Caenorhabditis elegans: one gene and its partner. The protein of the gene in region 2 interacts with the protein of the main gene of each other region in a biochemical or structural test. Each region holds a gene or a part of one and is shown on either strand. Other genes may lie near its edges. The genes, in order: cbp-1 and cep-1.

Evidence for each region.
Region 1: the proteins of cep-1 (region 2) and cbp-1 form a complex in vitro, tested with the Caenorhabditis elegans proteins (one study listed by BioGRID).

What each region holds. Positions count from the first base shown.
Region 1 is NC_003281.10:9,764,531-9,769,646, reverse strand, and holds the start of cbp-1 (Protein cbp-1), read right to left. Parts: upstream 3,138-5,116; 5' UTR 2,950-3,137; coding exon 2,910-2,949; intron 2,857-2,909; coding exon 2,780-2,856; intron 2,728-2,779; coding exon 1,939-2,727; intron 1,645-1,938; coding exon 1,279-1,644; intron 1,227-1,278; coding exon 1,100-1,226; intron 968-1,099; coding exon 818-967; intron 767-817; coding exon 254-766; intron 204-253; coding exon 1-203. UniProt on the Caenorhabditis elegans protein: Acetyltransferase enzyme. Acetylates histones, giving a specific tag for transcriptional activation. May prevent DNA damage-induced apoptosis by inhibiting cep-1-dependent transcription activation of the programmed cell death activator egl-1.
Region 2 is NC_003279.8:8,322,199-8,329,556, reverse strand, and holds cep-1 (Transcription factor cep-1), read right to left. Parts: upstream 5,263-7,358; 5' UTR 5,257-5,262; coding exon 5,217-5,256; intron 5,166-5,216; coding exon 5,086-5,165; intron 5,034-5,085; coding exon 4,960-5,033; intron 4,909-4,959; coding exon 4,746-4,908; intron 4,621-4,745; coding exon 4,528-4,620; intron 4,484-4,527; coding exon 4,323-4,483; intron 4,098-4,322; coding exon 3,860-4,097; intron 3,359-3,859; coding exon 3,193-3,358; intron 2,749-3,192; coding exon 2,607-2,748; intron 2,095-2,606; coding exon 1,881-2,094; intron 1,527-1,880; coding exon 1,290-1,526; intron 1,225-1,289; coding exon 1,103-1,224; intron 1,055-1,102; coding exon 850-1,054; 3' UTR 698-849; downstream 1-697. Other genes in the region: rpl-23A.2 (Large ribosomal subunit protein uL23B), read left to right, coding at 1-57, 105-297, 342-443; ythc-2 (putative ATP-dependent RNA helicase spindle-E), read left to right, coding at 5,574-5,638, 5,733-6,200, 6,251-6,523, 6,580-7,089, 7,143-7,358. UniProt on the Caenorhabditis elegans protein: Transcriptional activator that binds the same DNA consensus sequence as p53. Has a role in normal development to ensure proper meiotic chromosome segregation.

The DNA of each region.
Region 1 (5,116 bases), on a different chromosome or scaffold from region 2:
GAATGTCGAAGAATTATTGACCTGTGGAACTTGTCCATTCGGAGGAATCTGCTGATGCATGTTGGAATTCGGAGCACCTCCCCATGGTTGATTTTGTTGACTTGGTGCAACTGCCATACTACTTCCTTCAGAATGAACATCACTACGTCCACCTTCCACACCAAGCATCTGAGCGAGCTCGTTCGACGGTGGAATTGCGTATTCTGAAATGAAAATTGGTTAAAGGGTGAAATTTTAAAAAAAAAAAACTTACGATCATGTGCAGCAGCTCCTTGATTGAGTCTTGAATTCTTTTTCTCTTGAAGCTCTTTTTGTATCTTGTAAATTTTCTCAGCCAACAAATGATAATACTCTTCTCTGTCATTTGCAGATTCAAACATCTCTTTTTCGACTTTTCTGGCATAGGCTATCAAATCTTTTAACCGATTATCATTCATCGCTTCCTGATTCGGTTCCGGGAAAATCGCTTTAACCAATTTTCCGACAAGGTGATTTCTGAGATCTTTTGTGACTTGATGATGCCATTCTTTCGTACAATCTGGCATATCTGGTGGTGGCAAGTTTGGAATTTCTCCATTTCCACCAGGTGGTCTCGGTCCTCCACGATTTGGTCCGTTTTGGAATGGATTGCCATTGAATCCTTCGAATAGAGAATTTGTAATATTTCCAGTTCGCATCGCTGGCGATCCAAACTGATGAAGTCCATCACCTTCTGCGCTTCCGTTCGAATTCCCGTTGACTCCTATTAGATTTGCAAGATCGGGCACTGAAAATAATCAAATATTTAAAAAATGTTCTTGAGTAGGATAGAACGTACATGAAAATTGTAATGGAGTATCTTGTATCCTTTTGAGTGGTTTGCAGACAGGACAATCTTCCCTTGAGCAGTTTTTCCAGTGAGCTATTATTTGGCGAGACGATGCACAATGAGCGACTGAACATTTTTTTGTAGTTTGTGTGGTATCGGCTGAAAGAGATTTCAAACAGTGGCTAGAGTGAAGCGAAATTTTGGGTGGGAATAGGCGCTTCTTCTTGCGAAAATGTTCGAAACTCTTTCCAGATAGAGAAAAAGAAGCGACACGACGGGTAATATACTTACAATGACATAAACGACCAACATTGCAGCTTGTCATGTGTGTCAATACTTCTTTCATCGTTGAGCAATGGGGTAATGTACAGGCAGCATGTGGAGGTGGTTGATTCTTCGCAGCGAAATCACGATTTTCCTGTAAAAGCTGATGATGTATGAAGGAAACCAGAACATACTGTATAACATACCTTCTCACGTTGAGAACATTTGTGTGCATGAAGTAATAGAACAAGTTGTTGCTGAATAAGCTTCCGCTTCTCGGGATCTTGATGCGTTGCAAGCATGCTTGATCCAGGAGTTGTCGCCCTTCCAGCACCATTTCGTTGAGCTGCCGCCGCAGCTTCTTGCTCTCGTTGTTGCTGCTGTTGTTGTTGTGCAGCCGCCTGAGCTTGAGCTTGTGCAGCAGCTTGCTGTTGAGCAGCGTGTTGTGCTGCAGCAGCTTGTGGTCCAGGTTGACCATTTGGAGGACCGTGTGACATTCCTGGATGCCCATTGCTCATCATCATCATTTGATTCGGGCCTCGAATCGGTTGACCATTACTGTCCATCATCATCTGAAATGTAGAAGATTATTGTTATGATTCCAAGCAACTTCCAACCAATATTTGTGGAAGATTAGGGAATTATTGGAAACTTAAGTTTCAATTACACATCGATTTTGATTTGGCCAAATTCACGTCAAGCTAATAAGTGTTCCATTTTTGTTTGATCTTCAAAAATTGTCAGAATCGCACAGTTAAGATCATGCTGATCTTACCAATTTTCTAGGTTAAAAACAAAAAAAATTCCCGCATTTTTTAAAGATCAAACCAAAATGAAATAGAAATCAGGAAATAGTTTCTACTTACCCCTTGATGCATCATTGGATATCCACCGGGACGACCATATTGTTGCATAAATTCTGGTCGCTGCTGACCATATTGTCCGTGTTGCATAAACTGCCGATCAGTCATCATTGGCTGCATCATTGCTTGTTGGTTTGGAGGTATTCCAGGTCTTCCTTGTGTCGGCATTGGTCCACTTCTTGGCATTGCTCCATTCATCATAGCACCACGTCCCATGGGTTGTCCAGGAGTTGGTCCGCCCCGACTAACTCCTGGATATCCTTGAGGCATTCCCTGGGCTCCTGGTGGAGGACCACCTTGTGCGTACGGATATCGATGCATCATTCCTGGGAATTGTTGTCCTTGTGCACCCATCATCATTTGCTGTTGCTGATCTCCTTGGAACATTCCTGGTTGGCCTGGTCGCATTTGTGGTTGGCCTGGGCCTGGTGGTTGTGGACCTCCAGGACTGGGCCCCGGCACTCGACCCATAGATGGAGGTGACATCATATTCGGTGTACCATTTGGCATCATTGGACTCCTATTAAATGCATTTTGCTGTCCAGGCGGATATGCCTGCGGCCGAGGTGAATTGTTCGACGTTTGTGATGGATTCATTAGAAGTTCTTGAAGCACTGATCCATTGACACCTCCTCCCATATTCTGTGGCGGCTGCTGAGGTTGCGACTGTCCTGGTTGTAGATTGAACCCGCCATTGTTTGATGGTGCTGGTTGTGGAGTGCCTTGTGGATGAGGTGTCGAGCCAGAAGGACCACCGGATCCTCCAGCTGATGTGCTTGGATTATTGTCTACCTGAACAACAATTTTTATAAAACAGAGTGTTAATTCAAACAAAAAAACTTACATCTGTATCTTTACTAGAAGTTGGGAATGCTTCGAGACTTTCGAGAGCACTTAGCGCATCTAACCCAGAATCATAGTCTGAAAAGTTTAAAGGATCATACCGTAGCATCTTAACTTTCCTAGCAACTTACCGCTATCAGCGCGAGATTTTTTTGATGGTGGTTCATCCATCAATTAGTAGAAAAATGTATATATTTGACAAAATTCGAACCAAGTGAACTCTTTCTACTTCTCGGAACACCTGAATTGGTTGCGTCCGTCGGTTTTTGAATTCCCACGTCAACCACTACTTCATCAGAGTTCCCGCTTATTTGGGTTAGTTTGGCAAAATCACCAGATATAGCTGTTTGTTTCTGAAAAAAATGAAATGGATATATGGATTTTTGTCGGTGAACGGAGGAGGGAGGAGGAAGAGTGAGAAGAACATCGGTGAAGTAATGAGTGGAGGGTGGTTAGAGAGCGAGAGCACTTATGAAAAGAGGAGGCGAATTGAAGAGAGACAGACAGTGAGAGAGAAGGAGATGGAAAATCAATAGAATGAACGGAGGATGGTTGCACTTTTTAAAGTTTACCTGCACCATTGTATAAGTTGTTTAAGCGTGTAATAATAGAGAAGGAGCGTTTAAATGCTAAAATTGAATTAATAACATCAAATTCCAATGAATGGGTTACTGTAGCTATCATAAATTTAGAGCTTAAAATTGGATTCATAGCCAATTTTGCAAAACTTCGAAAACAAATTTTAATTAGAAACACTATAGTAATATACGGATTAACAAAAAAAAGTTGTTATGCAGTCTTGAGAGATATTTTTAAAAAATACTATGCATAATGAAGAAGGCGGGCATCTATATTGTGAAATTCGGGTATTTTTAAGCATTAAAGGTGTTTGGGACCATTAAAAACATGAATGCTCTAGATACTTACAGGTATATCTAGCTCGATCGATATTTGCTAAGCCAACCTTATGAGGCTAACTTCTCTTTCTCAGATGATCCCGTCGATTCACATGGTACTACTGACCCGATTCTGAACTGTATTTTGACTTAAAAAGTTGCAAAACATTTTCCACGTGACACGTTCAAAAGTTCATGATCGTGAAGAAGCGCAGAACACCGTTCGTCAAAATAACATGGTCAGTGGGAGAGACGACAGACAGCACGAGTCAGCCACCCACGAAGTAGTGTGTATCGGGAGAGAACGCCGACAGCGGGTGCCCCATGCTGTGGGTGTCTCGCAACGAAAACCGCGTTTCGCGAGATACGGTAGAACATTAACCGCACGCGACACGCACGCACACGAAGGAATATGCCATTTGGACAGGCTCCGTTTACAAGCATCTAATGGATCGAGATGAAAGTTTTGATTATAATTTTTGGTGTGATATTGAAGAAAATAACATTATTAACAAAGTTTGAAAGATGAGAGAACGAGAGCGAAACAGATAGATGAATGATGAGGTTGCAAAGATAAAAGTTAAATTTAATAATGAATTTGAGCTACTAGGAGCAAAATACATAGAAAATCGTAGAGCAATAGTATTTAGTAGTTGAATACTGTATATTATCACTTCGTGTAATGCCAGAGTAAGAGCCAGACTTGAAGCTCTGAAAAATCGATAACCACGATTGAGCACTTAATGGTTCAGTTTGTGAGCTCGCATTGAACTCTCATGAGCCGGCAGTGGCTTGAATAGATAGAGAATAATCGAAAGTGTAATGTTCTAAAAGGAAATTATCAAATACCACCGGAGAAGCAAAAAAACTGAGGAGGACGGAAGAGCGGCAGTTCAAAAAGTGCGAGAGGCGGGGCAATAGCCCTCCTCGTCCGACTGTCGATATCACCAAGAGAGGCGGAGCGACAGGGTGGCGGAGGGTGGTAGACTGGCAGTAGTTCTCAGTCATCCCAATAGACTTCTGAAGTTGACGACGATGAAGACTGAGATTCCGGACGACGACGCCGTGCTGCTGTCCTCAAGATTGTAATAGTGTGGCCGAGATGGGGCGGGGCCTCCGTTTCACACTCTATGCGCCCCTCTACTGCTCAGCGCTGGGCGTTCCGTCCGTTTCTCTACGCTCTCGTTTCCTTATCTTTCGGTATCGAAGGTGCAATTAAGGATCCGAATATACAGTAATTCATGATTCTTACGATAATGCGCATGATTGAACTGTTCTTAAACATAAAGTGTGGGAATAGCTAGACGTGTTGAGTATATTATATGTGAATGAATACGAATATTTCTAGAATAGAAAAATCTACAATCGGTCATGTTCGTTGGAAGCAGAATTCCAACAGGGTCCTAAACTGAAAACCAAAAATGATATGAATAAACATAGTA
Region 2 (7,358 bases):
TCGTACATCAGTCCACTTCAGACGCCCAAAGACCCTTGTGACTGCCAGAGCTCCAAGGTAAGACGATTCTAATAAAAATCGATTATTAATACAGATTTTTATAGATATGCCCGCAAGTCTGCTCCAGCCAGAGACAAGCTCGATAGCTTCGCTGTCATCAAGGCTCCACACACCACCGAGAGCTCCATGAAGAAGATCGAAGACCACAACACCCTTGTCTTCATTGTTGACGAGAAGGCCAACAAGCATCACATCAAGAGAGCCGTCCATGCCCTTTACAACGTCAAGGCTGTTAAGGTATGTTCCTAATTATCAGTTCACGTAATATTTCAAATTTACAGGTCAACACCCTGATTACTCCACTCCAACAGAAGAAAGCTTACGTTCGATTGGCTTCGGACTACGATGCTCTTGATGTTGCCAACAAGATCGGATTCATCTAAATCTATTTGTTGTTCATTGTTCGTTACCGTTATGATGAAGATATTCATTAAACGTAGTTGAGCTTTGTGGGAAGCAATCGATTCGATTGCAACGTGCAGATTTGATTCAAAAAGGAAGCAGATTTTATTGTAGTATCAAATACCTCTTCAAGTCTCGGTGACATTCTCATTCTGAGTCGATTTATGTTCGTCGACAGACTCGTTTTGTCTCCGTAAACATCATTCGTAGCCGGACTGTCTAAAATTAGTTTTGAATTGATAAAACGAACAAACTTTATTACGAAAAAATGCGATTATAAAAAGGAACAAATGTCAGTTTGAGTATCTAGTGAGAAATGCGGTGCTTTGAAAAGGATGAATATTGTGAAAACAAATTAGGCGATTAAACCAGGTGGTGATATGATTTTTACTTTGGCAGTTTCATCGCTTCCTGGATGCGGTAAAAGCTGAGAAACGCTTCGTAGTATTTCGACAATTTCGAAGAATCGATACCAATTCTTTCGAAGATGTCATTATGTTTCTCGAATTCTCTAATCATATCCCCCATTGTATAAATTCCGTTTGCATTGAACAACACTGAATCGTGCCCTGCTTTTATAGCGGTGAGGAATCTTCAAAAAAAAGAAATTACGGCAATCTTTATAAATCTTTATAAATACCTTTCAAGTCCTTCAGTTGGCAATATATGGGAGACTACTTGCGTCGGAACCCAAGTGTATCTGGGAACTTTTGCTTCGCGTGCCAGAAATTCGACGACTTTTGTATACTCAGCAGTCGACAGCTGAAATTTATTGTGAATCAAAATTAATTATAATATTGCTTTAAGAGTGAGCTAAAAATACTTACAGTGAGCGTTCTAAACGAATAATTGGTACAGCGACTTCTCTTCATCGACGGAGATTGACAGTTTTCGTGTTCAGTTTCAATCGGAGGAACGCATCCATGAAGACGACTTGCATAACCTGTTACTGGTGGAGTTCTGTGCATCATTGTATAATCATTATTTGGAGAATCACACTCATTCAAAAATCTCTTCCGATTATTACTGTTTGATGGAGATGAATATGAAGTTGATGGTTCCATCTGTAAATTTAAAATCTTATTTCATATTGCGTTGAGAAAATAATTGAATGTCTTGGGAATTAGAGCATATATATTTAAAAAATTAGATCGAAATAAAACATTTCAAAGCTTTGTGGTCGAGCAAACATTACGCATAAAGGAAGTCATTGGGAGATAAGATATCGAATTTCAATTCAGTTTTTGTTCATTCGACGGAAACAAGAAGAAAACGTTTTTCTATAGAAAATTGAAAAGAATCATGATAAATATGGTATATTCTTCTGGCAGAAAATTGATATTTCTACAAGGCATGATTTTGGAAATTGAAGTTATTTACTATTTTCCAAATTCTTTTAAATCATATTCTAGACAAACCTGTGCAGTAGTATTGGTCACGTTGAACATGTTCTCTAGATTGACCTCTTGTTTGATATTTATCGATTCTAGGCTCGCCTTCTTGTAGGCAGGTAACTCGGGAAATCTGAAATCCTTTTGTTTTGCGTCTTCTCGCTCACAGAAATTCTTCCAGTCACGTCGTGGATAGGCAACAATTCGAACTTGTTTGATGTATGCGTGGAGAATTTCGTTTCTGAAATGGTTTTTATTTAGTATATTAAAATGTTTAAAGAGAGATTTTCACTATTAATTTTACTCGATTATAAAGAGCTTTTTCAAAAGAACCAATTCAAAGAGTGAAAACAAATGTTCAAAAAAAAAGATCAACAATTCACAAATGTATTTGATTATGAATAAAGATCAAGCAATAAGTGTTATTAAAAAATTAGCAAAAAATTGATTTGAAACGCGGTAAACATTGCCGCGTTTTTAAATGACTCCAGACTGGCCTAGAATTTTTACATTTCTCTTACACGACCCCCTATCTGGAAATAGTAAGAACAGTAGATGTCGTTTTTAAACTATTTTGGAATAAATATTTTAAATTATTTTGATTATTTGAAAGTAATCTTTGACTTTTTGTTAAGTAGAAAAGAAACACTGTTTCAAGTGAATAGAGGAAGGCATATTTCTTCAACAGTAGGACAGTAGTAGAAAGCTTTTTCAGTATTCTTTTTTCAAATTTGAAATTATGTCTGAATTTACCCATTTTCATCGTCCAAAAAGACCGCAAGGCACATCGTTTTTCGTCGATCATCCAAATCAAGGCACTTCTCTTGACACATGAAGATTATATCAAAATTCGCCTGAACTGCGCCTGGATACATTATCAATGTAAATGTACTTCCTGAAAATTATTTATTATGCAATAATTTTGAACATGTTGATTCAACTAGAATAGTGTTAAAATATTTAAGAAAGTTATTCGCCTGATCTGAAAATTTTGAAAAAAATGTTTAAAAATTGACTTTAAAATGTTCCATCGGAATTATTTGCCGATTTTCTCAAAAATTGCGATTTTCCATTTAATTACATTTTAAAAAATTTAATGTTATTTTTGTTGTTTTATTTGAGTTTCCAAATAAATTTTCATCGAAAAACTATGAAAAATCCGCAACAAACAGCTTCAAAAAATTACGGTACTCTTTAAAGGTGCATTCCATTTTACAGTTAACAAAAATTTGTCGTGTCGAGACTACCGTACTTGTGGTGCAAAAATCACAATATTTCATGTTTGGATAATACCAAAATTTTGTAGAATTCGCCGTTATATTCATATTTCGAACGTTACCTTTTTCCGCACTATATGAAAATTCGTGTTCTGAATTTCTAATGTAGAAAAATGAATCAAATGGAAAATGTTGTTCTCGTTCAGTATGACTTCGACACTTCATCACATCACTTCTTGGATTTCGAATCGCATATTCGACATTTTCTTTTTTGTCGTATTTCACAAACTGAAAATGTTTACAAACTTAGTGCCTCTTTTCTCAATTTGAATTTTTTGCACAAAATAAATGTTTATTTCGTATTACGGTAGTCTCAGAGATTTTTTTTCAAAAAGTGAAAACATTTACATCCTAACCAAGGGTGTCAAGTCCCATGTCCCGTTGTCCCGTTTTTTGAGTGTTTTCACGGGAACGGGACGTCCCGTTGTCCCGTTGTTAAAATTATCACGGGAACGGGACAATTTCTCTCATGATTTTGTTGCACATTTTAAAGTTCTGTTTTTGAGTTTTGTTTCAAGACTTAAATTCATGCAGATTAATGACTTACATGCAGTTTCTTTTAATAGTTTGCCTCGAATACACTAAAATTTACGCCAACTATGCACTCTTTTTTTTAACCGCCCCGTTTGCCCCGTTTTTTGAGTGTTTTCAAAAAAACGGGACGTCCCGTTGTCCCGTTTTTGAAATTTTCACGGGACATTGACACCCTTGATCCTAACGCCAACTCACCCTGATTCTAAGTGATAAATTACTGTTAAAATGACGTTTATCCAATTTCCATTTCACTTGAATCGGCACTAGACATCCCATTTTAGTCCAAAGATATTTTTCGTGTTCCGATGAAATTGCAAATGCCATATCTGAACTTTTTGCCACTTTCTGTTTAAGAACGTCAATTTCCATCCATTTTTCACAATCTTCATTCAAATTCATATCTGATTGAACTCTTACAGCCAAATTCGATGATCTGAAAATACCGTGAAATAGGGTGAATGAGAGTTTTTCTTAAAAATACTCCAAACCCAAAAAACAAATCCAGAAAATAAAAGTTGGATTTTTTTCGGTTTTGCTCAAAAAATATATATTAAACTTTCAGCGGCAGTCTTGATTTCAAAGCAACAGTCCACCTTTAAATATATATTTGTTTTAATTGAAAATTTCCACTAAATCCGAAAAATACAAAACTCCTCACTCATCATTTCCATCAAAAGGCACATTTGTTTCCGTAAAATCCATTTGTGTAACCTTCTGTGTCATAGTTTCAGAAAGCTCTCTCGATCCGTCATTTTCATAGGATAATGCTGTTTCTTCCGCGATTTTCATCGATTTTCGAATAAATCGTTCTCTGGCACGCTGGAAATTAGATTCTCTATAGATATAATTTCAATAATACTCACCTTCTCAATTACAAGTTGCTGTTCTTCCTCTGTACGTACTCGAAGATATTCATACTTTTGGGAGTCGAGCACAACTTGCGACAACGTTGTATTCTGAAGCTTTGGATTATTTAATGATTGTATTTTGATAATTTGCAAAAGTAGAAGAGTTCAACTGTCTTCAATTAGTTTTTTATGCCTTTTCATTGCATTCTTCACTTCCTATTTCATTTACTAACCGATAGATATGATTCATCATTCATTAAACCATCTTCTGATTTATCACTGTCGAATACATCTCCAGAAGTATTCAAATCCGGTTCGAAAGCATCGGAAATCTTTGGCGTTCTTTTCTTGGTTTCCTCGCCATTGCCCAGTATTCCGTTATAGATAGTTGAAATTCTGAATAATTAATTTTCAAATATAAATCATATTTTTCTTTTTTAAACGAACCCAGGCGTCTTTAATATATCTTTTTCCAGTGAATCTTCAGTCCCTTGACTGAATATTGGAGTGAATACTCCGTCCTGATAAAATTATTTATTTGAAAATTAGGATTTTTTTTTTTCGGAAACTCACTATCATTTTCTGGACAGTGTCGAAGCTTAGATTTTGTGTCAAATTTACGCCGATGTCCTGCGAATCGGGTATTCTTGCATCTGAAAGCAAATTTAATTGAAATCTATATTTCAAGATTTCTAGCTTTTCACCTTTCAAAATATCACTGAGTTGTGAATCATCGGGTTCCATTCTGCGCTACAAATCAAGTAATATTTTTATTTTATTGAGAAACAAGCAGAAAAAATTAAAAACTTAAGTTTAAACTTGCAAGAGAAACAAATAAAGAAGTTCACTTTCAAATTCAAGTGTGTGATACCGTACTCCATGATTTCGTTCCGAGACCCATCTGTGAATGAAACCCGACGTCCTTTAAAAAAGTTTGTTTTAGGCGCCATTTTCATTTGTCGGGATTTCTTTTTTGTCATTGTTTCAGCCTTGATAGATTTTTATCTCGTCGTTTGTCACGTTGTTGTTGCGTCTGAATATTCTCATAAAATTGCAGCATAATGTCAGACGAACCACCTGGATTCTTTCGGGGTGGAGTTGATAGCAAACGTTGTTCTAGAAACGGGTGAGTTCTGTTTGAAAAAAATTAATATTAAAAAAACAAATATTTTTGAAAAATCTTATATTTCAATCATCAAATGACTGTAAACAATTTTCAGGTTTGATGCATCGCGGGTCTTGCCACGAGGTACAGATAATGACACTCGCAAAGAGTATCGACGGGTGGCGAATGAAATCATTCGTTCGTTTCTGAAAAGTGGACAAAAGAACACGACACTTGAACCTATGGGAAGAGATCAGAGAAAGGTGATGCACGAGGTCGCGCTACTCAATGAAATGACAACCAAATCTCATGGAAGAGAGCCAGATCGGTACATGATTCTGTCGAAGAGAGTGAACAGACTATCCAAGTCAACTCTTGTTGCAACTGAGCCAATCACTCCATCCTTCGAGTGTCTTCAGAAGCTGTCGAAGTTTGTCGAAAAGCATCCGATCACCAGAGAAGAAATGGACGAGTTTTTGACAGAGACACAGACAAAACAAATGCACACCACGAAGGGGCATATTAGTGATAGAATGGTGATCCCACCAAAGTCAAAATGCTCAAAAGAGTTACAAAAAGTCAGGTTTGTGAAAACTGTATAAATAGTTACTCCTATAACATTAAAAATTTCAGAAATTCACTGCCAGCTTCCAAATATTGTGACCAAGTGCTGAAATCTATTAGCTCGTGCAATGTGGTTATCATCAGTGGAGGAACTGGATGTGGAAAAACTACACAAGTACCACAATTCATTCTCGATGAAGCGCACGAAAATAATAAACATGTTCGTGTGATGGTCACACAACCTCGTCGTATTGCTGCAATTTCAATTGCTGAACGAGTTGCGAGGGAACGTGGAGAGCCCATTGGACGCACTGTTGGATATCAAGTTAGACTTGATAGCAGGTAATTCACACTTTTCTCTCGATATCACTTTGTTTCAACTTCATTTTTCTTTGCAGACGAAGCGACGATACTGTTCTGACATATTGTACCACTGGTGTTCTTCTAAGAATGCTCACATCTGACCCAGTTGCCTCTGGAATAACGCACATTGTGATGGACGAGATCCACGAACGTGAAATCAACACAGATTATCTTCTAATTGCACTACGTGAATGTCTAAAAATGCGTCCAGATCTCAAAGTCATTCTGATGTCAGCAACGATCGAAGGAAATATGCAATTGTTCTCGAATTATTTTGAAAATCATTCAATGGATGTGATTCGTATTGAATCTCGAGCATTTGATGTGAAAGTTTTCTATTTGGATCAAATTCTTGCAATGACTGGCTATCAACCACCTGAATCGAAAGCCTTCTTCTCTACTGCCGAATATGAAGAAGAGGATTGGAAAGATGAAATTGAAGCTGTTGAAAGGGAAGAGAAGGATAAAGCCAAGCAGAGAGCTGCTGATAGTTCACTTTCCACTTTGTCTAAACCAGTAACAAAGATGGCTGCGAATACAAAAAGGTAGGTTTCTTATTCATGTAGCGACTGACTCTTCTCAAATTTCCAAATTTTAGAAATTCGCCGATTGAAGAACGCGAGTGGACTTCTGGGCCCTGCAGTACACCAGATGGTGATATCATTGACGAGAGAGCAATGCGTCAGTACATGAATATAATAGGGAATCCAGATATTCGTCCTGTGATTACTGTTGAATTTCGTCCAACCACACCTAACTCGGTATTCATCAATGATGTGAAATATACGACGAATCCCAATCAATCAGCACAAGC